Linked DNA regions of Oryctolagus cuniculus. The protein of the gene in region 4 interacts with the protein of the main gene of each other region in a pairwise test. Links are inferred from orthologs where the notes say so. Each region holds a gene or a part of one and is shown on either strand. Other genes may lie near its edges. The genes, in order: DIXDC1, CCSER2, MIS18A, NDEL1, CCDC88A, TRAF3IP3 and CCSER1.

Region 1 (4,748 bases), on a different chromosome or scaffold from region 4:
CAGAGTGGTTCACTCCAGAAGTGCCTATTGCCTCATTTGCCTCAGGTGGGGCTTTGGCTTGCAATAGTAGCAGACCTTGGAGTATTATTTTTCCCAGCTGCCCAGATCAGGCAGAAGGTATAGCCACTCTTGTTTACAGAGTGAAGTGAATAGCAAGAGGCCTTTGGTAAGTGCTCTGTTTACTGGATGTTAATACCAGGACTGCTATGTCCTAGCTATGCGGACATTGGGAAAAGTTATATAGCCTCTGTGAATCTCATCCATAAAATGAATCTTTGGTGCTTCTTGGATAATTGAATTAGATTATTGATGATGAAAACAATAATGACCATTTAGTAAACATTAATATTAATTACAACAAATTGGCACAGAGAGAAATTATTTATTATTGAAGATTTCATTTAAGTTCAGGAAGCAGTTAGTGAGTGGTTTTGACCATTGTTTCATTAAGGAAGTACTTGGGACTTAGAAATCATTTATACTATAACCAAATTATAATTTAATGCAATTAGCTCTTGAACTTGATTTTTATATTTAGACTCTTGAGCTACTACAGAAAACGGAGCTGTTGCCTGGACTGTGACATTGCTCATGTGCTTTTTTGATATTAATGCCCATCTGCTGGCCAAATACGCAAGAGGAAACTTTTGAGTACAAGTTGGAATACAAAATGGAATATGTAGGGGCTGACACTGTAGCATAGCAGGTTAAGGTTCCATCTGCATCACCAGCATTCCATTTGAGAGCTCTACTTCCAATCCAGCTCCTTAATGATGTGCCTGAGAAAGTAGCGGAAGATGGCCCAAGTCCTTAGGCCTCTGCCACCCACATGGGAGACCTGGAAGAAGCTCCTGGTTCCTGACTTTGTCCTGGCCTGGCCCTAGCTGTGGCAGCCATTTGGGGAGTGAACCATGGGATGGAAGATCTCTCTCTCTCTTTCTCTCTGTAACTCTGCCTTTCAAATAAATTTTTTTAAAAATCTAAAAAAAAAAAAAAAAAAAGAATATGTGAGATTGTCCGAGGCTTAGAAAGAATTACATGCCTTTTCCTAGATGCCTGACCAGTTTCTAATCATATGAGGGCCTAACTTTGTCTGAAAGTAAATAAAAGGTCTTGCCGTCTTCAGTAACACTGCTCAATAGAACTTTTCTTTGTCCTTCTCTGTTTAGGTTTTAAGTAACCAGATCCTCTTCGACAATATGAAACACAGATTAAAACTAACTCTAACAATCCTAGGATTATGGGCTCAGGAGAATAAATCTTGGGTTGACTGCGAGACGAGTTCATTTAAGTCTTATTTTGAAGAAAGCAGCTATGGAACAGGCAGCCCTGAGCTTGGCTTATTTTTCATTCTTGGCTCCCCAAGATCAATTCCTCACAATCCTTTGTGTATATGATACATGCGTGGTTGTTCTTGAGAACCACGGTGGGTCACTGGCAGCAGTAGTTAGAACTGGCCATGGCTTTTGACCCAGTCCTCATCCCTGGTCAACAACAGAATTTGAAGGAAGCAGGAATCACAGTGATTGAAACACTTACGTGTTTATCTATGTCTGCAGTGCCACCCAAGTCACAGGTTAGCATATCTTTGGAGATTAACTTCAAACTAGAGAATTCCAGAACATGCTGGGTATCTGACCATGACACCATCTTTCTCTCCTGGGTATAGACTGCCCACCATAGCTCACTCTCAAATGCTGCTTTAGAGAGTACAGGGGAGGGGCATTAATGTGCAACGCCTGCCTGATTGGCACCTTTTGTGTTCCAGCAACAGCTGCAGGCGTATGTGGCCTGGGTAAATGCCCAGCTGAGGAAGAGGCCCACAGTGAAGCCTGTGCAGGACCTGCGGCAGGATCTCCGGGATGGGGTGATCCTGGCATACCTCATCGAGATTGTTGGTGAGTTGGCTCTGGATGCTGAGGCTACAGCATGGCCTTCTTTACCCTTCGTGTGCCCCTCAAAGCCCCTCTAGAATGTTTGGCCATGGACAGAGTGAAGACTTAAAATACTTGGCCAGACACTGTGTGCCAGGCACTGCCTTATGCTCTGGGAGTTTGATGATGAGCAGTCTGTGCTCTCAGAAGTCTCCCCGTTTCGTTAGAAAGACTGGAAAGTGAAGTCACTTCCATTAATGGACTTAGGACTCCGGTGGGGCAAGCACAGAGGAAAACGCAGCCAGTCTTAAGGGCTCAGGGGTAACCTAGCAGAAGAATTGATGTCTCAACTGAGGCCTGCCAGAGAAGCTGATAGCTGAGCCAAGGCCAGAAAAGGAAGCAGCAGCCAGATAAAAGGGGGGTGTGTTCTCCGGAAAAGGCCCCAGTGCAATACTCGCTGTCATAATGCTGCAGAGAAAGGTTTGCCTCTGGAAGCCCTGGAGTTGTTGCCAGTTTGGTATCATCTATTAAGCATTTGCCCACAGCTCTGTTATTATTTCTGTCATGAAACAGTAATCATTTGTGGCAATCACTTGTTTACCTATCTGTCTCCTGTAGAAACTGAACAGGTATAGAATAATGTTCCTCTGTTTCTCCAACCCCTAAGCAAATGCACGTAATTGATTCTCAAACCTTTATTGTTATATCAAGCAGCTCACCTTGCTTAGAACCCTGAGAGACATGGAGCCTGCACGTGGGGTGGAAGACACCTGATTGCAGCAGGCATCCTATCCACGAACACTTCCTTGGGACAGCTCATGAACTCATCAGAGGATTCATTTTAATGAAAATAACGGGACTCATAGTCACAGTAGCTGCCAGGATTTGGAATTCTGTCTTGCTTAATTTCATTTCATTTAATCATCACCCCCTTGGGAAACAGATACTATTATTCCCCCTTTCAGAAACAAGCTTACAAGAGAAGATTTATAAAAATAAATACATTCAGGGGCCAGCGCTGTGGTGTAGCGGGTAAAGCCACCGGCTGCTGTGCCGGCATCCCATATGGGTGCTGGTTGGAGTCCCGCCTGCTCCACTTCCAATCCATCTCCCTGCTAATGCACCTGGGAAAGCAGTGGAAGATGACCCAAGTCCTTGGGCCCTTCCACCCATTTGGCAGATCTGGAAGAAGCTCCTGGATCCTGGCTTCGGATCAGCCCAGCTCCAGCCGTTGCAGCCATTTGGGGAATAAACCGGCAGATGGAAGATCTCTCTTTCTCTCTCTGCCCTTGCCTCTCTGTAACCTTGTCTTTCAAGCAAATAAATAGATCTTTAAAAAAATACATTCATAGAGTACTTAATATGTGTCAAAGTAGCTGAGCAAGGTACTTTGAATTATTTGTGATATGGCTGTGAGGAGTTGAGAACCCCCCTCTGAAATGCTTTGGCCCAGAAGTGTTAACAGATTTTGGATTTTTTGGATTTTAGAATATTTGCATAGACTAAATCTGAAATGCTCCAAAATCTGAATTATTTTGAGCATATCATGTCGTTGCTCAGAATGTTTAAGGTTTGGAGCATTTCAGAGTTTGGATTTTGAGATTAAGGATGCTTAGCCTATACGACTACTCTTTTGCTCATTTTATGTAGTTTAGAGAGGCTAAGCACCTTTACAAGGTCACCTTACTATAAGTGCCTAAGTAAAGGTACCAGCTTAGATTTGCTTTAATTCCAAAGCCCATTTTAAAATTTAGGTTTTCATTGATTTGAATAGGCTGTTCATAAATTATTAGGAAATCCAGATAGTACAAAAGAATATAGAATCAAAAGCCTTTTTTCTACCTATATCTCCCTCCTAGCTGCCCATTCTTCTTTTTGGTGACAGCAGTGTTAGCAGTTTGTTACATTTCTTTCCAGAGATAATCTGTGCATACAGAGGCAATATGAATATGTCATTTTTTGTTGGTTTGTTTGCTTTTTCTTTTTCTTTTTTAAAAATATTTTATTTATTTATTTGAGAGGTAAAGTTCAGACAGTGAGAGGGAGAGACAGAGAGAAAGGTCTTCCTGACATTGGTTCACTCCCCAACTGGCCGCAACGGCTGGAGCTGCGCCAATCCAAAGCCAGGAGCCAGGAGCTTCTTCCTGGGCTCCCACGTGGGTGCAGGAGCCCAAGGACTTGGGCCATCTTCTACTGCTTTCCCAGGCCATAGCTGAGAGCTGGATTGGAAGAGGAGCAGCTGGGGATAGAACTGGTGCCTATATGGGATGTTGGCGCCACAGGCGGAGGATTAACCTACTGTGCCACAGCGCTAGCCCCATGAATATATCATCTTATTTTCCCAAAACCCAGCTTCTCAAATACTGCTTTCCATTGTTTTTGCTGTATAGAAAAGCCTCCCAAGATTGTGTCTGTACTCGTGAAATTTATTTCCTTATTTTGTATTCGTTCTGTAACCCTCCCTCATTAGGCTTTTGATCCCACAACTCCACTGGGACTGCTTCCCTTGGGATCCTGACTTGCACCTTGTCAAATCCAGGGGCCAGCCCTCAGTCCTTGTTTTGCCTGACTTAGCAGGGCCTGGTAGAGTAGATCATTACCACCTCTTTCAAAGACTCTTCGCTTGGCTTCCAGGATGCTCTAGATCTCTGGCTTTCCTCCCTCCTCACTGGCTGCCCTCCTCACTTGCTTTGCTGTCTTTTTCTCCTTGACCTGTAAATTGTTGGAGTGATAGAGGTCCTGTCCTTCATGTATTCTCTACCCCAGAGCGATCTCTTCTCACATTTGTGTAATTAGCCTTGAACTTTCCCTTGACTTCTGCACATGACTGCCTGACTTCCTGTTCAATGTCTGTACGTTGTCTAGTATGCAGCA
Region 2 (3,018 bases), on a different chromosome or scaffold from region 4:
CCAGAAAACGTCCCCCTCCAGACTGAAAACCCTCATGTCAACATCTTCACCATGATCACAAAGCTAAGACAATAAGCGATCCAAGTTCCTGTGGAGACGCATTTGGCGCAGCGCTGATCTGCAGACGCAGATCTGCGGTGAGCTCCGACTCCTCAGCAGAGCCATGGCCTCGCTTCCACCTCTCACTTAACACTGACTAAGGAGCAGATCAGCAGGATACTCGCAGTTTTTTAAAGGAAACTGCAGGCCAATACTTCATGTTGTGTGCAAGCAATTTAGATATTTTTCTCTTAGATACATTATGCTTCATAATTATATTGATGAGCCTATCTTCTGCTAAGATTAAGGCTCAACAAAGGTACAGAGAAGTTAAACTGACAGGCTTAACATGTCTGTAAGTTCTTCAGGGAGGAAAAAAGAGCAGGAAAGACATCAGAATAAATCAATGACTGGAGTCAACAGATGGTTATGTAATGGACAATAAAGACATTTCCCTCAGCCTAGGGAGTTAAAAACAAATTTGAAATTTAAACTCCTTAAGAGTCTGTATCAACTTCTAAATCAACCAAAAATCTACTAATTCATTAGACTGTTTTACTTTGGGGAAATCAAGAATGATAGTATCCTATATGCAATATGGGGTCAGCTTTCTTTCTCCATTGAAATGGAAGACCACCCACGTGCCCACTCTTAGCTGCAGCCATTGTGGCCCCCTCTGTGGACAAGGAAGTATTTGCTGCTACGTCCGAGGGAGGACTCATCTGCACTATGTGAGGGACCCGCTGCACTGCAGGGCCTCTCCTGTGGAAGCGCTGCTGCACAAGGCGGAGAGCCTACTGCGGCGCTGAGCACTTTTTACCAAATCTAACAATGATTTCTATCTACCGAACAGCACAGTCGCTGGATGACTGGTGCTCTGACAGGTAAGGGAAGACTGCGTCCAATGGCAGCACACACTTCCTTTGAAATTCCCACTCAAGCACTTGCTGCTGTTCCTCTCTCACAAAGGGACAGCCAAGTCCACCATCTTAAAGACACACATCGTAAAGGAATCCCTAGAAATTTGAATGAGTCACTTTCTTGGCTTCATTCTTTCCAGTACATTTTTGGTCCACTGAGCAAAAAAATTGGTCATGTACGGTGATCTGTCTAAAAACTATTCATGCTGATTGAAGCAGCTGCAGAGGTACAGCCTAAATGTGGCGTGATGTGAAGGACAGGAAGACACGTTCACTGCACTGTCTGACAAGCGGCCTGCAGGATGGTTAAGTTCGTGCACATGGTTGCCTGGAGGTCCCACAGCTGCCTTCTGCGGCACAATGGAATAAATAAGCATAGTGCCTTTGAAATACCTTTGAATAAAATACAATTCCTATCTCAAATTCTGTTCTCCTTCCCAAATCTACTCTTCAAGAAATTCTCATTCAAACGTACACCAACCAAAATGGGAAACCTAGGAAACCCAGAAGAACTAAACCATTATGAATTCTAGCTTTCTCAAATGCATAATTTTTAAATTTATAATTTTTCTTAAAATATTTTCACTTGTTTTGCTATAGAAAATAAGTTTTAAATCCCTATGTATGGGATATTTACACCCCATCCAAGTTTTGTGCAAATATTTCAAGTCCATTATTCCAGTCTTCAGATATTGGCAGAAAGTCAATAAATATAAATATTATAATAAAGACTTAATTCATGATACATGCTGTGGAACCTTTAAAAAGCTATATGAATCCATAAGCTTATGGAGTTCAACACTGAAACTCCTGCACTAACATATGTTACAATTTCAAGACGTAGCTCACTCTCCAAAATTTACCCTACAGTAGCAATGTGAACACACACAAAGGGGCTGTGGCGAAGAATTCCTGTGTGTGAGAAAAACATGATATCAAAGCAACACATGATTGGTTTATAAATAATACGAGACATTTTCAGTCTGGGGATTTAGGTAAATGAAGAAACAGTAAACTAGTTTGATGATCCTAGTAGGGAAAAATAAGACTTACATAGACTTCCCATTAAAAGCCTGATCTCCTTTATTCATCACAAAGCTTTTGCATAGACCTTTAAAATATACAAAACACTGGCCAGAACTCTGCTTACAGACGACCATCATCCATGATCACCACGTCTTTAGTTCCAATAGTAGCCATGTTCACAGGAGAGACAAGTGGGAAGGGGTGAGGTTTGGACAACCACAAGGAATACGGACTTAACAGGACTCATCTGCTAAGTGGCTATTGTGAGTTTTCTGATGTACAGCAAGTGGATACATGGTGACAGCCTTTGGTGGACCTCTGGGATGGGTAAGCAAACTTGTGTTTACCTGAGACAAGATGCTCAATTGGTACAGACTTCAGCCCAGGCTATAAAGTGGAAGAGCCCAACTAGTAGAAACTTCCACATTTTAATTGTAAGATTTGCAGGCTTTCAATGGAACCTCCACCGTGGTAGTAAACTGTACGTAAAGCTATTACAGAAGACTGTGTTTCAAAACACAAAGTGGCAGGTGATGGCTATGTACTTAATGTATCTTTGGTTTAGGAAGACGAGAATAACGATTGGATGCCAAACAATCCCCAGGATGCAAGTTGCCATTCGGATTCTGCATGATTTCTTTTTGTCGTGTGAGTGGCCTTGGGATGCTGGTCTTGGCCTGGACATTTTGAGGCTCTATTCGGGGGGTGCTTACTTGTTTCTGTTTGAAAGAGCAAGAAGGGGGGCGGAGCTTAGACACTTTCAGATTACTTGCAAGATTTGTTGGACTAGATGTTGGCTGAAGTTTTGCTGAATGACATGGTGCGATTATCAGTGACTTCTTACAAGTGGGAGGAGTCCGATTTGCAGATGATTCCGAATCTGGAGGAGGTGCCAAAGAATTCAGAATGGATGGCTTTAAAAGCTGCAAAGACTTGGGCTGAGAAGGGTAGCCCACTGGTGGAGACTGATCTTGTCCAACTCTCTCAGCCTGGTCTACTGTACTTGATTGAGGAGCTGTCTGAAGAGAAGTAG
Region 3 (4,281 bases), on a different chromosome or scaffold from region 4:
CAAATACTAAATGAATGGCAGTTAATAACATGAGCACTCTAAGTACATTCCACAGTAGATCAACACCAAGTCAGCAAAGAGAGCTATTCTTGTGAAGAGGGACCACGCAGGAAGCTCTACTACGTACCTCATGCCTTCCTCCACAGCGGCTTTGTCTGCACAGCTCTACATCCCAATTCTCCAGCATTACAAGTATCTCATTACTGGCACAAACCTGCTCTAGGCAAACTGGGTGGCAAAGCATCATCACTCATAGCTCAGCCACCTAAGGACCCGGAAGAAGCCTCCCCTGTCTTGCTTTATCTAACGTCAGAAACATGTGCCACTTCCAATTTGACCTTTTTTCCAATTTTTTACTTAAGAGGGGCAGGGGAGAGAGCAAGAGCACGACCTCCCGTCTGTTGTCTCACTCCCCAGTGCCCGCAATGGCCAGAGCTGGAAACTCGATCCAGTTCTCTCACGTGGGTGGCATGGACCCAACTACTTGGGCCAACTATGTGCTGCCTCCCAGGGTGTGCGTTAGCCAGAAGCTGGAATCAGGAGCTCAGAATTAAACCCAGGGACTTTGGGGCCGGCGCTGTGGCACAGCGGTGAAAGCCCTGGCCAGCAGTGCCGGCATCCCATATGGGCACCAGTTCGAGTCCTGGCTGCTCTACTTCCAATCCAGCTCTTTGCTATGGCCTGGGAATGCAGTAGAAGATGGCCCAAGTCCCTGCACCCACATGGGAGACCCTGAGGAGGCTCCTGGATCCTGATCAGCTCAGCTCCACTGTGGTCATTTGGGGAGGAAACCAGTAGATGGAAGACCTCTCTCTCTCTCTGGCTCTGGCTCTACCTCTCTCTCTCTCTCTCTCTGACTTTCAAATAAATAAAATAAATCTTAAAGTAAAATATAATAATAAAATAAAATAAACCCAGGGACTTCAATGTGGAACACAGCTGCCTTAACCAGTAGGATAAACACCTGCTCCTAAATGAGACTTTAAGTAATAAATTGTGGTGGTCAATACTTGATTAACCAAATGTCAGCAACTGTAACAGTTATTCTCCAACTTACACTGTGTTTGCCTCTCATTGTTACAAGATGCGATGGTTTAGGAAAGTAGGAAGTAGCAGAAGAATCAGCTGGCAATGGAGGGAAACCAGCTCTGGGCTGGCAACCAGCTACATCTAAACAGTAAGGACGGAGATGCCAGCATCTCTCAAAGAAAACTCGAGGGGCCAGGGCTGTGGCGCCAGCTCCCGGCATCCCACAGCGGAGTGCTGGCGGGAGTCCCCGCAGCTCTGTCTCTGCTCCAGCTTTCTGCCAATATGCCTGGCAAGGCAGAGGAAAATAGCGTGGTAGGCAAACTGCAGAAGGCAACCGACATCCTACTTAGAAAACCAAAGATGCGGTGGGAAAATGACATGGCACCGAGCAACTGATAAAACTGTAAATAAATGGCACAGAGGGCAGCCCTGGCATTACAATTCCACCCCAAGGGGCCAGTGCTGTGGCATAACCGGTTAAGCTACCACCTACAAATCCAGCATCCCACTTGGGTGCTGGTGCTAGTCCCTAACGTTCCACTTGCGATCCAGCTCTCTCTAATGCACCTGGAAAAGCAGCAGAAGATGGCCAAGTCCTTAGGCTCCTGCATCCATGTGGGAGACCCAGATGGGGCTCCTGGCTCCTGGCTTTGGCCTTGTCCTGCCCTGGCCCTTGCAGCCATTCGGGCAGAGAACCAGCAGATGGAATATCTCTCTCTCCTCACTCTCTCCCTCTGTAGCTTTGCTTCTCTCTGTGGCTTTGCCTTTCAAATAAATAAATCTAAAAAATACACACACACACAAACTTATTTTTTTAAAAAAAATTCTGCCCAAGAAGTAGCCTGTCTCCTAAAATCAACTGTTCAGGAAAAACAGCCTTGACAACCATGATCTCCTGCAGTAAAACCTCCCACGTATTTTCTTCTGTAACACAATATCGCTTTTTAGAAAAATTACTCTCATTTTATTTGAAAGGCAGAGAAAGACAGGAACCTTCCATCCACTGTTCACTCCCCAAATGCCTGCAACACACAGGGCTGGCCCAGGCCGAAGCCAGGAGCTTGGAAGTCAGTCTGTGTCTCCCACATGGGTAATAGGGACCCACCCAAGTACCTGAGCCAGCATCTACTGCCTCCCGGGTTTACATCAGCAAGAAGCTGCATCAGAATTAAAGCAGGCCCTGTCCTATGGGTTGGGGACATCCCAAGCAGCAACTTAACCACTGAGACATAGCCCCAGAAAATACTTAAAAAGAATCCTTCTCAAGTTCATTCCATTTTTAAAAACAAATGAACACAGGCCAGCGCCGCGGCTCACTAGGCTAATCCTCCGCCTTGCAGCGCCGGCACAAAACCGGGTTCTAGTCCCGGTCGGGGCGCCGGATTCTGTCCCGGTTGCTCCTCTTCCAGGCCAGCTCTCTGCTGTGGCCAGGGAGTGCAGTGGAGGATGGCCCAAGTACTTGGGCCCTGCACCCCATGGGAGACCAGGAGAAGCACCTGGCTCCTGCCATCGGATCAGCGCGGTGCGCCGGCCGCGGCGGCCATTGGAGGGTGAACCAACGGCAAAGGAAGACCTTTCTCTCTGTCTCTCTCTCACTGTCCACTCTGTCAAAAAACAAACAAACAAAAAAGAACATATTTTTACTCCAAAAAAAAGCCACAATTTAGGAGTGCTGATTTTTCCAATATCAAAAAATTAGAGCAAAGCAAAGAGAAAAACAGAGAGACAGAGAGAGAAATTAACTGGCTTTAATGTCAGAAAGTACTACCTGGAAATGTCGTTTAAGCGTGGTTTAGCTCTGACGTCTTCATAGCAATTTCTCTGCAAACTTAACTTTCTGAGAGGTCAGTTACCCAGCGGTCACTTAAATATCAAACTTACCTTTCAATGGCTTCAACACTGAGGCAAAACAAGTCCCTCTTGTAATCAAGGCTCTTGGGGGTGCATCTGTATATGTAGCCGAGGTTGAGGGAGCAGCCGACGCAGTACAGGGTCTCGAGGACGCTGCGTAAAGACATAGCACCGCTTTAGGAAGCAAAGCAGCAACTTGCTACAGAACACCCACTGCTGGCACCCACAAACGCTTCAACACTCAGGTTTCCAGGGTTTGTCATTCTGACCATGTTTAGTTACATGTATTCATATAAGGAAGGAAAAAGATGAGAGTAAGACATTTATAATAGAAATGCAAGGACAGCCACACTGCCATCCACATCTGACGGCAGGAACATGCACACGGCAACAAGAGGAGGAGACCATCAAGTGCATGTGTTACGGCGCAAACTCTGCGGCCAGGGCTGTGCCCCAGCAGGTTAAGCTGTCGCTTGAGATGTCAGCATCCCATATGAGGCAGGTTCAAGTCCCAGCTGCTCCACTTCCAATCCAGCTCCCTGCTAACATGCTTGTGAAAGTGGCAGAAAATGGTCCAAATGCTTGGGCTCCTGCTACTCACATGGGAGACCCGGATGGAGTTCCAGGTCCTGGCTTCAGCCTGAATTAGCCGTGGCTGCTGTGGCCATTGGGGAGTGAACCAGCGTATGGAAGCTCTCTCTCCCTCTTTCCGTAATGCTATCTTTCAATAAATAAATCTTAAGAAAAATAAAGAATGTAAACTCTTTGATTATAAAGAAAATTGGGAAATAAGACAAAAAGATTCTATGCGTCCTTTTAATGCCATTGTCCAAGGAGCCCAACAACGGCAGGGAGAGGCAACTCCTGTGTAATGACGCAGAGAATAACTAATCCTTACTACTGGCCTCTGCCGTCACGGCACGAAAACAGCTTACAGACACTGCAGAACTCAATCACCTGGGTTCACAGAGAGGCATCCAGCCCAGGGCCTCTGCCTGCCCCCGCATTGGCAGAAAGCTAACACAGCCCAGTTTAGAAAAAGCCTCTAAAGTTAAATGACAGCCTGAAGAAAGCCCACCAATGCACCGTAAGTGAGTTTAGTCTGGCAGGGACACAAACCATCCCTGTGAGTAGCAAAGCAAGCCCCAAAGGCTGAGGGGCCATAACTCGATCTGCCGACCCTGAACCAGCTTCCAGCTCCCTCGTTAAGGGGTTTTTAAAAAGTCTCGGATGTGTGCCTGTGATCTGTGTGTTAGAGCTGCCTGTTAAAGGATCTACTCACCACCAGCACTCTCCCAGCAACCCCAGGCACGCCCCACACAGGTCACTCACACGTACTTCATGACCCGCCGCCTCTCCACTTACTTGTTCCTTCATCCTGGACTCTCCTCAGCCTGGCTT
Region 4 (4,281 bases):
TTCTTTCTAAATTACTATGTCTCAAAAAAGAATTAAATAAACTTACATTTCAAGGAGAATAAAAATGACAACTGTACTGCCTAAGAATTTAGAAACGCTATAACCTCAGACAGCAGTTACCTACACCCACAAGCAAGAAGAAATAGGGCAGAGTTCAAAGGAGAATTCATTGTGAACCAATAAGACAGATCTCTCATCCATGAGTTCACTACTCCCCAAGTGCCCTGTGCCAGGTCAAAGCCAAGAACTTAAAATTCAATCCAGGTCTCCACTGTAGGGGGCAAGAACCCAACTTCTAAAGCCATAACCTAATGCTTAATAGGGTATGCATTAACAGGAAGCTGGAATTAGAAGCAGAGCCAGGACTTGAACCCAGGCACTCTAGTGTGGGAAGTCTGCATCCCAAGCACTGTCATAATGCCAAATGCCAGCCCCCAAAAAATAAATACTTCATCAACTCATTTGCTTTCACTTTAAAATATTGTAGTTTGGAGATTACTGTGAAATCAATGAAATGCATTTCTATAATTTTATATGAGTTGGTATTTTTTATTATCACTATGAAACATTTTGTTTTAAAAAAGTAGTAGTTAAGGGCCAGCGCTTTGGCATGGTAGGCTAAGCCTCTGCCTGTAGCACATCCCATATGGGCGCCAGTTTGTGTCCTGGCTGCTCCTCTTCTGATCCAGCTCTCTGCTATGGCCTGGGAAAGCAGTGGAAGATGGCCTACCTGCTTAGGCCCCTGCACCCACATGGGAGACCCATAAGAAGCTCTTGGCTCCTGGCTTTGGATTGGTCCAGCTCTGGCCATTGAGGCCATCTGGAGAGTGAACCAGTCTTTCCCTCTAACTCTGCCTCTCAAATAAATAAATAAAAATCTTTATTTAAATAAAGTAATAATATCACTTTAAAATTAATTTCCTTGCTTTCAAATATTGAATTTTCAACCCAAAATTAAATTTTCCAGTTAGGCAACTAATGTATAGAATATTTCCTTGTATCAGAAAAGGATACAGATTATCCAACTTCCAAGGTCCAAATGAATTCAAAACAGGATCTCAAGAAGACACTTGCAAACTTGTGTTCATAGCAGCATAATTCACATAAGCCAAGAAATGCACCTACACCAAATATTCATTCATAGATGAATGCATAAAGAAAATGGATACAGGGGCCAATGCTGTGGTACAGCAGGTTAAGTCACCGCCTACAACGTCAGCATCTCATATGGACGCTGGTTTGAATCCCAGATGCCAAACCTCTAACCCAGCTCCCTGTTAATGCACCTGGGAAAGCAGCAGAGGATGGCCCAAGTCCTTGGTCCCCTGTACCCACGTGGGAGACCTGGATGAAGCTCCTAGCTCCTGGCTTTGGCCTGGCCTAGCCCCAGCAGATGCAGCCATTTGGGGAGTGAACCAGTAGATGGAAGATCTCTTTGTGTCTCTGTGTAACTCTGCCTCTCAAATAAAAAAATCTTAAAAAAAAAGAAAAAGAAAAAGAAGTGTCTAAAGTAGTGGAACTCAGAGAAACAGAAAGCAGAACTGTGGCTGCCAGCAGCTGGGGGGAGGAAGAAATAGGAAGCTGTTCTTCAGTGAGTATAGAGCAAGGTGCAAGAGTTCTGGAGGTCTGTTCCACAACAACGTGACATCTAACACCACTGCACTGTACACTTAAAAATGGTTAAGATGGTAAATTTAACATTATGTGGCTTCTTTTTTTTTAACCACAGTAATAAAATACAGAATGGTTTACACACTATGTAAATTATGAGAGACTCTTCAAGTGAATACACCAATCCCTCAGGGAAAAAGAAAAAGTCATGAAAAAAACAATCATTAAAGAGTCAGTAGGGTCTGGCGTTGTGGCACATCAGATTAAGCCACTGCCATATGGGTGCCAGTTCAAGTCCCAGCAGCTCCACTTCTGATCCAGCTCTCTGCTAATGCATCTGGGAAAGCAGCAGAAGATGGCCCAAGTAACTGGGCTCCTGCCACTCACATGGTAGATCTGGACAGAGTTTCAGGCTCCTGGCTTCAGCCTAATCCAGCAGCCCCAGGCGTTGCGGCCCTTTTAAGAATGAACTAGTAGATGGAAGACCTCTCTCTCCAACTCTGCCTTTCAAATAAATAAATAAACCTTTAAAAAAGAAAGGAAGTCAGTTCTTAAGCTTACCCTGGCTAGTGTCAGATTAAAAAAAGAATACTGTTAATATTTATTCTATTTATTTGAAAGGCAGAGTTAGAGACAGAAGGAGAGATAAAGAGATCATCTATCTGCTGGTTCACGCCCCAAATGGTCACACCAGCCAGGGCTGGACCAGGCCAAAGTCATAAACAAGGAGCTTCTTCCAGGTCTCCCACGTGGGTACAGGGGCCCAAGGACTTGGGCCATCTTCTGCTGCCTTCCCAGGCACATTAGCAGGGAGCTGGATCGGAAGTGGAACAAGTGGGACACGAACTGGCGCCCATGTAAGATGCCAGCACTGCAGGTAGCAGCTTAACCCACTACGCCACAGTGCCAGCCCCGACAAATATTCTTTAAACTATAAAATTTACCTCTTGCTTCATCCTTTAACCGCTGTACAGAGACCAACAAAGATTCCTTTTCATCAAGTTCACTTTCTAAAAATGCATTCCGTTCTATGGCCTGATTTAGCCTTTGTTCAAAGTCTTCCAGTGAAACTATTGTTGCCCTGGAAAAAAAAATTAACAGTCCATAAAGTAAGTAAATAAATAACATGTGCAAACAGCTAACACAAAAGGAAACTGTCAGTTTATCTCATGACATTCTTCACCTAGTCTGTTCCACCAAGTTCAAAGAGAATGAGCTGGTCTTTCTCCCAACCTTCTGTGGATTCAGGGTCTCTATTTCCATTCGGGCCATTCAGTAAATTCCTTAAAATTCCTTAAAGAAAGGCCAACTGTTACACTATTTATATTTTCACTGGATTTTAAACATGATACAGTCTCATTTATGAATTTTGAGGAAGAAAACTTTTTCTTTAAAGATTTACTAAGTTATTTGAGGCAGAGTTACAGAGGGAGAGAGACAGGAAAGTGTCTTCCATCTGCTGGTTCTCTCCCCCAAATGGCCACAACGGCCAGAGCTGGGCAAATCCAAAGCCAGGAGCTTCTTCTGGGTCTCCCACCTGGGTGCAGGAGCCCAAGCACTTGGGTCATCTTCCACTGCTTTCCCAGGCCATAGCAGAGAGCTGAATCAGAAGTAGAGCAGCCAGGATTCAAACCAGCACCCATATGGGATGTCAGTGCTGCAGGCAGAGGCTTACCTTACTATGCCACAGCACTGGCCCCAGAAGAAAACTTCTGAATATAAAGAAGCATGTAAGAATTTGTTTTGTTTTGTTTTTGTTTTGTTTGTTTGTTTTTTTGACAGACAGAGTGGATAGTGAGAGAGAGAGGCAGAGAGAAAGGTCTTCCTTTTGCCGTTGGTTCACCCTCCAATGGCCACTACGGCTGGCGCGCTGCAGCCAGCGCACTGCGCTGATCCAAAGGCAGAAGCCAGGTACTTCTCCTGGTCTCCCATGGGGTGCAGGGCCCAAGAACTTGGGCCATCCTCCACTGCACTCCTGGGCCACAGCAGAGAGCTGGCCAGGAAGAGGGGCAACCGGGAAAGAATCCGGTGCCCCGCCCGGGACTAGAACCCGGTGTGCCGGTGCCGCAAGGCGGAGGATTAGCCTAGTGAGCCGCGGCGCCGGCTAAGAATTTGTTTCTAACATTGTAAGTCCCAGGTTCCACTTCACTTACTTCCTGTCAGCTCTTTTTCCATCTTGCATTTCTCATTCATTCAACACCTACTCTGCAATTCCTGTCAATTGCCAAAATGTCTCTGGAATCTATTTCCTCCTCAACCTTCTCTCTGCCTTACTTCTTCTCCCTAAATGGATTACTCCCAAATGTTCTGCACTTCTCCGTGCTTCCAACGCCTCAGTATTACCTTCTTGAATCATAACTCTGATATTACTCCTTTGCTCAAAAAAATTTTAAAGAGTTTCCCTTTGCCTACAGAGTGACTTTCAAACACAGACCAAAGACTCTTCACAACCTGACCCCAACCATCCTCTGGTCAGTCACTGTCTGGTACGTGGCAAGCAAAATGAAACATCAATACCTCAAGCTCTTTCCTGCTTCTCTGCCTTTCACCTGCCTCTTCACCTGATTAACTCCTGTTCCTCCTTGCAGACATAGCTCTAGTATCTGCAAAGGCTTCTCCAGCTCACCCAGAGGCACTGGCCGCTCCCCTCTCTGTGCCCTGCATTTGTCA
Region 5 (4,880 bases), on a different chromosome or scaffold from region 4:
CACCTGGGAAATGCAGCAAAAGACGGCACAAGTACTTGGGTCCCTGCACCTACGTGTGAGATTGGGAAGAAGCTCCTGGCTTCCAGCTTCAGTTCGGCCCAGCTCCGACCGTTGCAGCCAATTGGGGAGTGAACCAGTGGATGGAAGACCTCTCTCTCTCTCTAACTCTGCCTTTCAAATAAAATCTTTTAAAAAACCTAATAATTTCAAAATTAGCAAAATATAACTTTTAAAACAATGTATATTTTGTTGTCCTGAAAGTTAAATAATTCATTAAGATAAATTTGCGATGTTATTTTAGCAGATTTTTCTTGAAAAAAAGCAAAAGCATACTTCTCTTTTTCTTAATTTTCTTTTTCTTTAATTTATACGGGTCATTCAAACAGAATTAGGACGCTGAAAACACTTTTAAAGAAACTGAGAGGTGGAACTGAAAACACAGTGGCAGATTTGAGGTTTGGAAAGGAGCTAGTCCTCCCAAAAAAACAACTCCCTGGCAACCACTATTTTGGAACACCATCATTTTCAAAACATACCTATACACAATGGAAATAAGCCAACATGTTTGTTTTTAGCACCTTGGCTAGCTACTTAAGACTTAAAAAGCCCCAAATCTTTCTCTTTTTTTGGAAAAAGTATTATTTTAAAAATCCACTAAAGTAGAAAACTAATTTTACTATTTTTGTAAAGATACTTTTTAAGGGGAGGGGTTATGCACACAAATTCAAAATTTTCTGAAACAGACAGACATAGGGGAAAAGGTGACTCTCTACCATAATGGCTACTCTTCCTGTCATGTGTGTTTCCTAAAATAGAAGTTAGTTTAATTTTTCTACCATTTCGCTTAGGAAATAGTGGGATATTTCAAAAATAAAAAATAATTTCATGGGATAGCTGCCAAAAATACATTTATTAACCCTATAAATAATTAATGTCTACACTCTTCCTTTCTTAAGGAAAAAAATACAAATTTTGATAACATATACATTTCTTCAGGCACCTAAACAAATATAACATTTTTGGAAAGTGTATGGTAGTAGTATGTCTCCCTGTGGGATCAACATATAAATCTCTGAGCATACAAACTCTAACTGGAACAATTATTTGTGAAATTAACATCTAACCTCTTTTAAACAGAAAACTAACTTGAAAAATAACTTCCAGTAAAATACAGAATAGCTAATTTATATGTAAAGTTCTCAAAGCAGAATAGACTTGTTCTCTACTTGTTAGCAACTATGGATTTATAAGGCACTAATTTCCCACATATATAAAAGATGAGAACATCTTTCAATCACAGGTTCCAAACTACTCCTATAATCAGATTCTATTCAAGAATAAGGCTAATTACTTACAGCACAACTGTAATGATATTCACAGTGTGATAACCTACACTGAAGGACCTAGAATGCATGTATGCTATAGTACCTCTAATAATAAAAATGCAGCTGTTTTTACTGCCCTAATCCAGCTACCAATATACTTTCAATATCCAATTTCCATTGCAGAAACAAACAAAAACATTTAATATAGATCTAATATTATAAATATAAAAGACAAAGAAGTGACTACTAAATCACTGGTTGTCTAGTCCTCATCAAGCCTTCAATGATGTACATTTCAAAACTAAGAACACCTTAAAATGATCTTTCAAATATGACACAAAGTCCACACAATAAATCATCTAATCAGACCTGAATTATTATAGACATTTAAGTTACATGCTGCAGCAGCAGTCCTCTTCACCACTCAGAACTGTGTATGAAATTCTAAGATGTTATTACTTCACTAGCTTCAAAAACTGAGTATAAAAATAACTATTTTTAGATATGCATCAAATGCACATAGCTTCACATTAAAGTCCTTTCCCCCCTATTAGGACACTAGATTTGCATTCTTGCCCTCTCTCTCTTCTTACCAGATTATCAAAGAGGACACCGTGTGGTTTGGTTTTCAGCACTGAAGACAATAAGTGACAACACAAGGTTGGCAAAACGAAAAATGCAAAGTTTCACAATTTTAACAGGCATAATTGCTGGCTTGCGATAAATGGGTTGGGCACGGAAGATTTTCACTCCTTTCAACATCCAATTTTTTGAACCACCTGCATTTTTCTAACCCAAGAACCACATTAGGGGCGAAAACATCAAGTCTCAAGTTCACAGTACGTTATTTCTCAAAGAAAACAAGTTACCCAGAAAAGACTTACATTTGGAGCATGACCTGGTTCAGGAATACCCCATCCACCAAAGCCACATATTCATCCAGGTTGGTCCCACTGCCCGCAGCCAGAGGTCCGAACGTTTTAACCTAGAACAGAAGGATCGTCAGGGCATGAACGCCCACCTCCATCTCTGCAGCCACAAATAACCCAGCAAAATCTACAATAAAGGGCACTCCACTTACCCAAGTGACCAAGGGGCTGGTCATGAACTGCTCCAAAAGGGGAGTAAAAATTTCGTTCTCCATTTTACAGATCCTCTACTTAAAAAAAAAAAAAAAAAAAAAAAAAAAAAAAAAAAAAAAAAAAAAGGAACTACCACAAAAATACGCCTAGGGAATTGGTCACGAAACGTTGAAGTAGAAATCAATGAAAGTCCATTTTGGCAAGCGAGGAAAACCCCATCGAGGAGGGGGGGAAACGCTCCCTCCTCCAAAGACACCCCAGAGGGAAACGAGCCGAAATCCCGAGAAGCGGCTTCGACAGCCCCCACGAGCAGCAGCCTGCGCTGGAAATGTCGGTACCGGGCAAGGAGGGGCAGAGAAAAGGCATCTGGAGGAGGAGGAAGGGGAAAGAGGGCTGCAGCAGCAAGACAAAAAGCCCGTCAAGGTTGCCCGGCTCCTAGAGCAGCCAAGCGAGCGGAACTGCCCCCAATGAATTAATCCCAACGTGGGCTTTATCAAACACCACGTTAGACACCACCTTAGGGGATCCAAGGGGCCGCCAGGCTCGACCTCCGCGTTTCCCCTCTACACGTTCCACCCACCGGTGGGCATGGAGCCGCTTCGACCCGCGAAGCCTCCCCGGTCTGCAGCCCCTCACCACCGACAGGCAGGGCTCGCCCCTTCCCCCCGAGCAGACACCATTCCTCCGCCGCCCTCACGCCTCGCCTCCAGCCCCCTTCCCCTCCCGGGGGATGGGGGCTTGAATGTGCGTCTCTAAACCTCCGGCTGCCTGAGCCCCGCCAGCCTCTTCGGAGCGCCTCTGGGAAGCCCTGGCACAAAATCACCGCCGAGCTCCAACCTCCTCCTCCGCCCTCTCTGGAGGAGCCGGAGTAACGGCCTCAGAACCGCAGTGCCGCGTCACACCCCACTACTCGCTGCCCAACCAGCGCAGCGAGGCCGCCGTCAAGGGGACGCGCCGCTCCCTCCGCGCCGATATCCTTCCGCCGACTCCCCGCCCCTCCCGCGCCGCTGCCTCTGGATTGTGGGAGAAGAAAACCGCTGCATGAGCGCGCTCCCGGGCGAGCGCGTTCCCGGGTTGGCCCCGCCGCCGCCCAGATTCTGAGACGGGCGCGGGCGCGGGGCCGCGCTCGCTGCAGCTGCTGCGGTGGCCGGCGCCTTGCTAGCGCCCAGGATGGTTGCCAGGGGCGGGGGGCGGGGATGGCGAAGGCAAAGGAAAGGGTCTGTCTGCTCGCTCACTCGTGCCTAATTATGGTTTATTTCCTCCCCGAGTGCCTTCTTTGATGTGTGAAGGAAGGGGAACGAAATTCTTCTCTTTTAAACATGAGGGATGCAGACAGCCTTTTTCGGACAGTTTGGTTTGATCTCTTCAGCATGCTTGCTCCCCAACAGAATGGAATGGGAAAACTGACTTCAGCGAAGGGCAAAGGGACGCGAGCCACAAGTTAGTTCTTTTTTTCTTCTCCTTTTCCTTTTTTTTTTTTTTTTTTAACATCCAGCCCTCTAAAGCATGGAATGCAAGTGAAATGTGGTAGGATTTTTAAACAACCAAATCTATCTTTCAGCATGTTGCTATTCCCTGACAAGAGCAAACGTGATTTAGACATTTTTGTGTGTGTGTGTGTGTGTGACGATTTGGCCATTGAAAAAAATCCAAACAAATCAAGAGCTATAAAGAGGAAACATTTGGAAGTCATCCAACTTGGGCGACAAATAAACAGATTACATATTTACTATAAATCTCTATGCTATGCACGGCTGGAACCATCAAAATAATTTTAACAGTTCCCTAGCAAAATCAAATGTTACTCCTCATTTCAAAGAGAAATGAAGATCTTTTTCTTGAGATTAAAATGGGCATGTAAAACACATTTTTTGAGAAAGCATAGCGTTATAGTTTGACAATGTATGCTATGTTTGCACTTACATAAACATCTACTTTGAATACTTGCATACTATTTTAAATTAGCAGTGAGAATGTTTTTGTCATAGCACTGAATTAAGAAACAGCACAGTTTGTTAATTAGGTAGTTGAGAGCCTGGGCTTGGAGTTCTCCTGCATGGTTCCAATGCTCACTAGCTCTGTGAGACTAGGCAAGTTACTAAGCTGCTCTGTGCTTCACTTTCTTTATATGTAAAGCAGTTCAATGAAATGGCAGCTTATAGAAATATTTTATAAGTGTTGTTGATGTTGTCTTCATCATTATTCCCCCTAAAATTAAGAATCTTTGGGAGGAAACTTCAAATGAAAGCTCTCCTACTTCAGTTACATGAGAAAGGATCTTGCTTTTGGGAAACAGAAACACATGTCCTTATCAAATGATCTTAATTACAATTAGGATGTTTTCATGTGACTTTTTTTAGGTGGTAACAGAGTAGAACTTCGCACGGCCCTGGCCAATACACAAGGCTGGTGTCATCCTGGTGGCTCACAATGTTTTCCTTTTGTTCTTGATGACTCTCTCTTAATCACAGTT
Region 6 (4,898 bases), on a different chromosome or scaffold from region 4:
GTCCAGACATGGACTGTGCCATCCAAACCAGCACACACATGAATCACACCTCAAAGAGTCTGTCCTGTAAACAAACAGAATCAGGAACCCAAAGTCCCCAGGGAACCAGGTTTATGGTGTAGAGGCTGTACTTGACACCTTGCATGTTGTCTTCCCTGCCATTTCCAATGCACCTGAACCCAATCCCTTCTTCTTTCCTGGCCTCTTTTGTTCTTTCCTGCTCTCCGCACCTACCTGCTGTGAATTCGCTTATTCTCCTAGGATGCTCTGGGAGCTTTGCTGAGTGGGGTTGCACTTGAGCTGGATCCTGAGTTTTGGAAATCCTGCGCCGAGCCTCTGACCACTGGGGTCAGACCTGGGACTGATGAAGGAAGAGGGACTCCCCCTCACAGCTGCTGTCTCCTTTCTCCAGCTCATGACCTCATTACCACCCCACCCCCACCCCGGGAACTTCAGTTCCTGGGTAGGTCAGAGAGGTGGTATCTTAGCTCCACCAACCAGCAGGCATTAGCCAGCTCTGGCCATATGGGTTTGCTTATAGGCCAAGCAGACTGCACAGGTAGCAGCCTCCCTGCCCTTTTATTGGGATTCTGCTGCCTATCCTTGCTTAGTCTAGAATTCTCTGAAGGATTCTTGCTCTTTCTGATTCACCACTCATTTCTTAGGGTCACAGGCAGGGCAGTCTCACTCTCTGAGAGGGGTCTTAATGTGGGCAAGCCTGGACACTCCTTGATGCCTTACTCCTAAGGGTTGGAGCAGTGCCCTCTGGCCTCAGGCAGCACTGACCCCATGGAGCCATATGAAGACATCAGTCCTCTCTGTACCATTTCTGAATGGCTTTATCCTTTCCTCACACTTTTCATTCTTAGTCCTTGGGGCCAGGAGTGGTGGTGGTGGTGGGGAGGGGTTGTCCCTGGACCACCTGCTGCTTTCCTCATCTGAAAACAGAAAAGGGCCTCAAGTCCCAGCCATGTAAACTTTTAAGTGACTGGATAGAGGAGACTTGGGGGTCTGTGCATGGGAACTCTGGGTCCAGAACCCACACATGTAGGCTTGCTCTGCCCTACAAGGTGGAGGAGAGCCCTGGCCTGGAGTCAGACTGTGGACTTAAGTCCTGACCGTGTCACCATTACCTGTGTGTGATTTTGGGTCAGCTGTCCAATCTTTCTGCATCCCAGTCTCCTTGTTTATAAAATGGGGCTTGTAGGGTTCTGAGATTAAATGACAAAGTGCACAGTAGGCCCCTGGCACTTGGCACATAATAAATGTTACCTTTTTTTATTAATACACATTCAATATTGTTAGGACTATCCTTGTCTTGCTGTGTTGGATACTGGAGACCAAGGCCCCCGGCTAAATGAGCACTCCCAGGACCAATAATGACAGATCCCATCCTCTGATTCCCCCAGCCTTTTCTCTCTGGAGGAGTACATTGTTTACCAGGTTGAGGAGGTGCTGGCCCCAGACTGAAATAATTTTCACTGCTATGGTCCATCTGACCTCTGGGTTTGGGCAACGATGAGAAAAGACGTCTCTGTGGTCCTGACACAACAACTATCTCAGTTAGGCCAAGCAGAAAGGACAGGAAGAGATGGAGGGGAAGAGTGGCTGCCCAGCAGCAGACCATGGAGTGTGGGATGTGAGGTCGCCTTCCTGTTTGCCCCTAGTTACACAGGCTTTGTAGGGAGGCAGAGCCCTGGCTGCAGAGAATCCTGCTACCCTCCTGCTGTGGAGGGGGCTGGGGGTAGCAGCCAGAGAGATGAGATCTCTCTGGGCTCTCCACCTGGGCCATCTACATCAGTCCGCTGGACCACTGAGAGAAAGCAGCTCTGCTCCCTGGCATCCTCACAGGTGGATGTTAGGATTTATGGCCCAAGAGCAGAGTTGCAGTAGAGGTGGCTCCTTAGAAAGGGGGGCATTCCCAGATCCCAGGCCTACACACCCAGTAGGATTTGGTGTGGCACAGCTGAGTGGAACCATACCAAGCTTTCTTGGGGGTGGTTTGACACACTGAGTTGCTTAAAAATAAGAAACCCTGTGGGATGGCTCATTGACATAAATAGGCAATAGAAAAAAAAAAGGAACTGTCTTTGTAAGGTTCAAAGAGTGGTCAGGGGGCATCTCTGGGGTACCCCTTGGCAACACAATAGGGCTCAGTTGGAGCTTGGGGGAAGAGGTAGTGTTGGCTGGGGGAGGCCTTCCTCACTCCCTAACACAGGAAAGGACCAGGGCACTGTCCCTCACCCAACAGTAGCCTTGTCACTGCCTTTACGAGTCGCTGCTGTGACAGCTTGGCTGTGTGTGCGAAGCGATGGTGAGTGACTTCCTGTATGGGCCTGGCCTTCCTGGTCCAGAGCTCTCAGTGCCAGCTGGAAAGGCTGCTGTGTGTTTCCCACCTTGAAAGGTCATCTCATTCATGCCCCCATCAGTGAGTAGCCCGAGAACTCCCAGGCATTTGACTCATCCAATTAAGAGGATGGAGCACAGGGGTGATGGGAGTTGTATCTCTGTTCTGTGGCTAGTGCCTCAGGAAACCAGCTCAGGACACTTTCTTGGTTACTCAACCCCCCGACACCCTTGACCTACATCACCCACTCCTGGGCCTCCCTCTTCATCCAGGGAGGCTTGGGTGACGGAGCATCTTCTGCACCACCCCAGCGTCAGTGGTCCCAAAGCATCCTCATCCTCAGTTACCTCCGAGTTCCAGGCTCCAACCCAAGTGCTCAGGAAAGCATTCCAGCTTCTGGGGACACCTCGGCTGTGGTCTCAGATGGAGCAGAATAGCAGCTGGGTAAGGGGCAGGCTCTCAGTCCCCGGCTCTGCGCCCCATTAGCATTTCCCTTCTTGCTACTCTCTTTCTCTTTGCACAGCAGCCTTGATGAAACAGGAAACAGACAAACCCACAATGCTCACAAACCCCAGTTCCTCTCTCTTGCTTTCTGGCGCGATCTGAGTGGGCCCCTGAACCCTGGGGCCTCCGGGGCTGAGCTTGGGAGCTCCTCCCATCAGTGGGCACCCCAGGCGCCCTTTGTCTTGCTATTGGATTGGCCTGAACTCTTCTTGACAGTTTCAAGACAAGATCCATTTCCAGGATTAGACAAGGATGGGCCTGTGATTGGATTCAAACCGTGCAGTTCCTGTGAGGGCAAAAAAAAAAAAAAATCCGTTTTTGGTAGTGCGACCTAGAAGAGCTGTTCTCAGTGTGGGCTGTCCTGGGCATCGGGTAGTTCTCCACAAGTCCCGGAGCTCTGGAGAGTTTCAGGAGAAAACGGGGTCTGCTTCAGAACTCTAGGCTGAGGTCAGCCCTGGCTTCAGTCATTCCCGAAGCAGCAAGGAGGAGGTGAGAAGGTGGGTGGCTGGGAGATGAAGCGAGGAACAGCAGGCAGAATCTTGTAGAAAATATTTTTTTTGGTCTCAGTCACTTGGACTAGGAAAATTGGGGGAAAAACTAAAGGGAACTAATCTGCCTGCATTATAAAGAAACCCTCATAGGCAGTCTAGTCGGGAAATTACCAAGAAGTTCGGGATAAAATAGTGGAGAGAGACCTGGATTGGGACAGTGGCCTGAGCAGCTCTGTAACCCTGTGTAGTTCACCTGATTGGAATGAGCTGCTCAGGATGGTGGCTGCAGGAATCCTGTGGCCCCTGTGAGTTCCAGGGGGTGACACGAGTGAGGTGGGCGAGGAGATGTGGAATAGCTGCGACTGGATGATTTTTATTAACACGCGGGGAGTGCATCACGGTCTTCTTTGCTGCTGTGGCTGCCTGTTTTCTGAGCAGAAAAAGGACAAGGAGTAGGCTGGGCAAGGCATTCCAACTGAAGACAAAGGATGTTCCCTCAAGACGGGAAACAATAGTTCTAGGCCGTGTCTAGAGCTGGACATGTGGAGCCAGAAATGAGCAGAGGACAGAGCAGGGTGGGGGGCCCAAGATGGCAGAATAAGAGAACTTCATTTAAAAAATTGACCAAGTTGATCAAAAGGGAAACCTCAGTACATTATATAATTAAATTTAAAAATTCATTTGATTCTTGTTTATTAGAGAGATCCCTTTGGCAGGGTGACTCCACAGATACCCACAACATCAGACTGATGCCAGGAGCCAGGAAATCAATCCAGGTCTCCACAGGAATGGCAGGGACTCAACCACTTGAGCCATCACCTGCTGCCTCCCAGGGTGCACATTTACAGGAAGGTGGAATCAGGAATGGAGCTGGAACTTGAACTCAGGGTATGGGATGCCATATATTTTTTTCATTTTATTTCATTTATTTGAAAGAGTGAGAGAGGGGTGAGAGAGAGAGAGAGACTGACCTTTTAATACACTGGTTAACTTCACTGATGGCTGCAATGGCCAGGGTTGAGACAGGCCAAAGCCAGGAGCCTGGAACTCCATTTGGGTGTCCTATGTGGAGAGCAAGGTCCCCAGTACTTGAGCCATGATCTGCTGCTTTCCCAGGCACATTAGCAGGGAGCTGGATTGGAAGCAGAGAATCTGGGACTCCAACCCTCCAACCGGTACTTACATGGAGTGGGCCTTGCAGGCGGTGGCTTAACCCCTGACTCCACAATGCTGTTACGGGTGCTGGTTCCTTTTTTTTTAAGATTTATTTATTTACTTGAAAGGCAGAGATAAAGAGAGACAGACAGAAGGAGAGAGAGAGAGAGAGGGTGAGATCTTCTGTCTGCTGGTTCACTCCCCAAATGGCCACAATGACTGGGGCTAGACCAGGCCAAAGCCAAGATCCAGGAGCTTCATCTGGGTCTCCCACATGGGTGCAGGGGCCCAAACACTTGGGCCATCTTCTGCTACTTTCCCAGGCTCATTAGAAGGGAGCTGGATCAGAACTAGAGCAGCCAGGACTTGTACTGGTGCCCATGTGGGATGCTAATACTGCA
Region 7 (4,281 bases), on a different chromosome or scaffold from region 4:
GAACTATTAAAAGAAAAAGAAGTAAGTAAGAGTACTAGAAGACAGTTTTTATACATGTTCCATTGCAAAAGAATGGAAAACAGTGCCATTCGCAATTGTTTATTACCAGAAAAGCTTTAAATTTACAGAAAACTTGAGTTCTCTTAGTCACATATTCTTTCCGAAGCCTAAAATTGTTGGAGTTCTCCTGAGCTGCTTCACAGCTCACATTAGTCACAAAAACACAGCCTTCTTTCTTCCTTATTGTGTACAAAGTCTGACCATTCTCTGCTATCTCCACAACTAAGAGCCTGGGTCAAACCCAGCCTCGCTTGCCAGGGTTCTCACAATACTTCCTAAGATTCTTTCACCTCTGCCTACTCCCACCTACCTCACCACCTCCTTCCCCACCACAAAACCTAGTTTCTGCCCGGTAACCACAATAATATACTTACAGCACGGTGAGATGGATGAAGTTCACACCTCAGGACATAAATCTGATGTTTTCAAATGAGCTCCTCTTGTGATTCAGCTCTCACCCCTGCTCCGAGGGCTGCCCTGTTCACCTGTTCACTATTGCAACCCCACCTTCTGCTGCCCTCCCCTTCCTGTATCTTGCTAATGCCACACTGGATCTCGTGCTGTTCCTGGAGCATATCTGGCATGCTCCAGCCCCACAGCCTTCGACTCACCTATACCAAAACACTTCTTTGAAACATCTGTATCACTTACTCCCTGAGGTCCTTCAACTCATGGCTAACATGTTACCTTGAGTAGCAGCCAGCTCATCAAATTTAAAAATGCAAACAGCCACCTTCCCTTCTCTCTTCCTAACACTTCATTCTGCCTCACACTTGACCTCATCAGTTATCATCATCTCACGTGTATTTATTTGTATGTTTACTGTCGGAGTATCTGTGACCAGTAGAAAGCAAGCTTCATGATGTTAGGGATGATGTCTGCTTTGTATCCTTTCTGCTAACAACAGTGCTAAAACAACAAACACTTACAGAATAAATGACTGAACTGCTCTATTTAAGTTCATCTACCAGCTTAAAGGCTTTGGGTTGAAATTTATTGTTCCAAAACATAGCAGAGGTCTTAAAACAGTGTTTTAAGCAAAAAAATGAAAGTTATTTCTATTATTAATTGTGATATTAGTGTGTATCTAATACATTCAGATATGCATTAAGTACTAGCTTCAATGCTTTATAATATAAAATAAATTTTGAATTACAAATTAGTGTGTACAGCCACTCTTTCTTGCATAAAATACAATTACTTAATTGGTTTTAAAATTTTAAACTTCCAAACTGTAAAATTTGCAAAAGTAGCACATAAATATTCCCACAGAACAAAGGACAGTATACTATCATCTTTTCCTTGTTGATATCACCAAAAACAGGCAACGCACTGTCAAGTCAGTGAAACTACTTTAATGTGTTCAATGGCTTACAGTTAGAATCACAACAGTAGATAAATTTTCACCAGGATAATTGGTAATTCCCTACTTTCCATAGAGATAAAAATACATAGTATTCAATTAGACATTGAGAAAAGTTGCCATTGTTAAATAAGATTAGATTTATCAGGAAAACAGCATTTCTACCTTTCCTGTGTGTCGTGTCTATAAAAAAGAAGTCCACTCTGAGGTCCTTCATTTGCTAAAAATATGACCTTTTAAAGTTACTTAACTTAATAATAAACTGTCATAAACTACCACATAAAAATTTTGTGAGGATTAAAATGAAATAGAGCATGCAAATTTCTTAGCACATTAGTTACATTTAGTGTACACTTTAAAAAGGTAACCACAACCATCATCATCATTATCATTCTCATTATTATATTTTAGTTATTTGTAGATATAACAAATCAAGAGTATGGACATGGCAATCAAGTTAAAAAAAAAGAAAAAAGTAACAAGGTGCATAACAGTGATTGTGTATCAATACACAAAATATTTTAAGACATCTGGGAAATGAATTCTTGCATTTAAAACTTGAAAACGGCCATCAGCATAGATGGACTACTTATATAAATCACATAATTCTATGATTCTTGATATTCTTCCACTTAACTTATTTTGAATTCTATTTACTAGTTAAGGTAAGAATATATAATACAGCATAATGGTTAAGAACCTGAGCTTTGGATTCCCATAGTTACAATTAAGCTATGCTACTTGCCAGCTGGATGAAACTGTGGGCTTAGATCACACTTGTGAATAAAGGAAACATTCTACCCTACCTCATGGAATTAGTATGCTAGTCAATTACTAATTCACTTTGTGACTTAGAACATGTAACTTATCTGTGCTCCAATTTTCTTGCCTGCAAAATAGCTTATAATAATAGTAGTGATTTCACTCTTAAAAAAAAAAAAAGGTTTATTTTATTTTAAAGAAAAGTTAAAGAAAAAGAGGTCTTCAATCTGCTGGTTCATTCCCCATCTGGCCATAACAGCCAAACTGGCCAAAGCCAGGAGCTTCTGGGTCTCTCACATGGATTCAGGGACCCAGCACTTGAGCCATCTTCACTACTAACCCAGACACATAATCAGGGAGCTTGATCCAATGTAGAGCAGTCGAATCTAGGCAGCAGCTTAACACTGCTATGCCACAGTGCTGGCCCCAACTTCAGTCATTTTAAAAAAAAATATTTTTTATTTATTCAAAAGGCAGAGTTATAGAGAAAGAGAGAGAGAGAATCTTCAATCTGCTGATTCACTCCCTCAATGGCCACAACAGCCAGTGTTGTGCTATGCTGAAGCCAAAGGCCTGGAGTTTCTTCCAAGTCTCTCAGGTACCCAAATACTTGGGCCATCGTCCACTGTTTTTTCAGGCCATTAAAAGGGAGCTGCATCTGAAGTGGAGCAGCCAGGTCTCAAATCAGCTCTCATATGGGATGCTGGCATTGCTATGCCACAATACCAGTCCTAATTTCAGTCATTTTTTAAATTAATGTGTGCAAAGTACAAGAAAAGTATTTGGGATACAGTGATCATTTTCAGTATTAGGATAATTACCATTAGTAGTAGTAGTAGTAGTTATAGCAGCAGTAACATAACAACAATTGCTAGCAGTAATGGTATCAAAGAATTAAAAATAATATCTAATAAAGCCCAGGAGATAATATACATTCAAAAGTTTGCTTGAACTGAATTTTATGTTAAATAACAGAATTTTCTTGAGCCAGACTGGAATGATTGGTGCACACACTTTTTTTTTTTTTTTTTTTTTTTTTACACAACAAGGTTTGATGTCCTGGATTATACATCTATACATCTAGTTCATTTCAGTGGCAGGGCTACTAGAAGCAGGCAGGGCCTTTAGGCTCCAAAGGACAGGATTTTTAAATCTTGAAATTCTTTGTATCAATAGAAAGGAACTGTTTATGCTGATGCACAGATCTTGGTCAGTAATGAAACCACTGTTAACACAGGAAATAGAACTTAAATTATACAAATTATTTTTATGGTGATTTTGGCTGCAATATATCCATTTCATTAAGAAATACAGATACTTTCATAATGAACTCTAAAAATGGTAGTTCTTATTTTAGATAAACCCACACTGCAAATAGAAGTAGTTTCCTTCTACTTTCTTCTCAGAGTCAGAGTCCCAGTAACACAACAAGCAAACTAAACAATGTTACTGAATTATAATTTCAGCATAACACAATTGAGGCAAGTTCAAAACCAAGTTGCATAAAAGTTTAAACTAAATTCTAAATACGAATGAATCTAGGTGGTGAAAAACAAGGCAAGTGTGCTTGCTATTCATGAGATGGAGGATGACAATAGAATACATTACAATGAAAATCATTTCATAAAACTTATTTTACAAAGAAAATCAGCATACCTTTGGCAGTATTTGCTTCATATCCATATGACGTTTTGTTAAAAATATGATGATCACCAGAGGAGGGTATTATCTTTGAATCGGAAATAGGATGGATCCCTTTAACACGTTCAGCTATTGCTTTATGTTGCTCATAGAAGCCCCGTTTCCTTGGGGAGCTTGTGCCCAGCATTGCCTCCCCATTGTGTAACACCATATTGTCCTCTCTAAGCGTATCTGCGGGTAGACGAGTCTCTGAGTTGCTCACATTCCTACCGCGCAATTCAGTGACCTGCAATAACACTTCTTTCTGACTAGCAGCAGAGGTTTCAGGTAACGACTGAGATTCAATGCCACACCGACCCTCTAACCTGTATTTCCCAGGAGACAAACTCGCACAGGGAACTGTTCCCGTGAGTTCTACTGCTGTCTTTGTAACAGCAGCGGGATTGGGAGAGAAC

What was found.
Region 1: the proteins of NDEL1 (region 4) and DIXDC1 interact in binary tests that used the Homo sapiens proteins (3 or more experiments, as listed by UniProt). The link is inferred for Oryctolagus cuniculus from reciprocal best matches to the Homo sapiens genes NDEL1 and DIXDC1.
Region 2: the proteins of NDEL1 (region 4) and CCSER2 interact in binary tests that used the Homo sapiens proteins (3 or more experiments, as listed by UniProt). The link is inferred for Oryctolagus cuniculus from reciprocal best matches to the Homo sapiens genes NDEL1 and CCSER2.
Region 3: the proteins of NDEL1 (region 4) and MIS18A interact in binary tests that used the Homo sapiens proteins (3 or more experiments, as listed by UniProt). The link is inferred for Oryctolagus cuniculus from reciprocal best matches to the Homo sapiens genes NDEL1 and MIS18A.
Region 5: the proteins of NDEL1 (region 4) and CCDC88A interact in a two-hybrid assay, tested with the Homo sapiens proteins (2 studies listed by BioGRID and IntAct). The link is inferred for Oryctolagus cuniculus from reciprocal best matches to the Homo sapiens genes NDEL1 and CCDC88A.
Region 6: the proteins of NDEL1 (region 4) and TRAF3IP3 interact in binary tests that used the Homo sapiens proteins (3 or more experiments, as listed by UniProt). The two-hybrid records come from large-scale screens. The link is inferred for Oryctolagus cuniculus from reciprocal best matches to the Homo sapiens genes NDEL1 and TRAF3IP3.
Region 7: the proteins of NDEL1 (region 4) and CCSER1 interact in binary tests that used the Homo sapiens proteins (3 or more experiments, as listed by UniProt). The link is inferred for Oryctolagus cuniculus from reciprocal best matches to the Homo sapiens genes NDEL1 and CCSER1.

Annotation. Positions count from the first base shown.
Region 1 is NC_091432.1:103,912,962-103,917,709, forward strand, and holds the start of DIXDC1 (dixin), read left to right. Parts: upstream 1-1,335; 5' UTR 1,336-1,459; coding exon 1,460-1,576; intron 1,577-1,768; coding exon 1,769-1,898; intron 1,899-4,748. UniProt on the Homo sapiens protein: Positive effector of the Wnt signaling pathway; activates WNT3A signaling via DVL2. Regulates JNK activation by AXIN1 and DVL2.
Region 2 is NC_091446.1:74,797,047-74,800,064, reverse strand, and holds part of CCSER2 (serine-rich coiled-coil domain-containing protein 2), read right to left. Parts: coding exon 2,531-3,018; 3' UTR 1-2,530. UniProt on the Homo sapiens protein: Microtubule-binding protein which might play a role in microtubule bundling.
Region 3 is NC_091435.1:12,608,896-12,613,176, reverse strand, and holds part of MIS18A (protein Mis18-alpha), read right to left. Parts: intron 3,034-4,281; coding exon 2,911-3,033; intron 1-2,910. UniProt on the Homo sapiens protein: Required for recruitment of CENPA to centromeres and normal chromosome segregation during mitosis.
Region 4 is NC_091448.1:52,897,070-52,901,350, reverse strand, and holds part of NDEL1 (nuclear distribution protein nudE-like 1), read right to left. Parts: intron 2,693-4,281; coding exon 2,556-2,692; intron 1-2,555. UniProt on the Homo sapiens protein: Required for organization of the cellular microtubule array and microtubule anchoring at the centrosome. May regulate microtubule organization at least in part by targeting the microtubule severing protein KATNA1 to the centrosome.
Region 5 is NC_091433.1:147,168,811-147,173,690, reverse strand, and holds the start of CCDC88A (girdin), read right to left. Parts: upstream 3,345-4,880; 5' UTR 2,470-3,344; coding exon 2,407-2,469; intron 2,311-2,406; coding exon 2,210-2,310; intron 1-2,209. UniProt on the Homo sapiens protein: Bifunctional modulator of guanine nucleotide-binding proteins (G proteins). Acts as a non-receptor guanine nucleotide exchange factor which binds to and activates guanine nucleotide-binding protein G(i) alpha subunits.
Region 6 is NC_091444.1:24,604,447-24,609,344, reverse strand, and holds the start of TRAF3IP3 (TRAF3-interacting JNK-activating modulator), read right to left. Parts: upstream 2,953-4,898; 5' UTR 2,695-2,952; intron 1-2,694. UniProt on the Homo sapiens protein: Adapter protein that plays essential roles in both innate and adaptive immunity. Plays a crucial role in the regulation of thymocyte development.
Region 7 is NC_091439.1:75,222,353-75,226,633, forward strand, and holds part of CCSER1 (serine-rich coiled-coil domain-containing protein 1), read right to left. Parts: coding exon 3,842-4,281; intron 4-3,841; coding exon 1-3.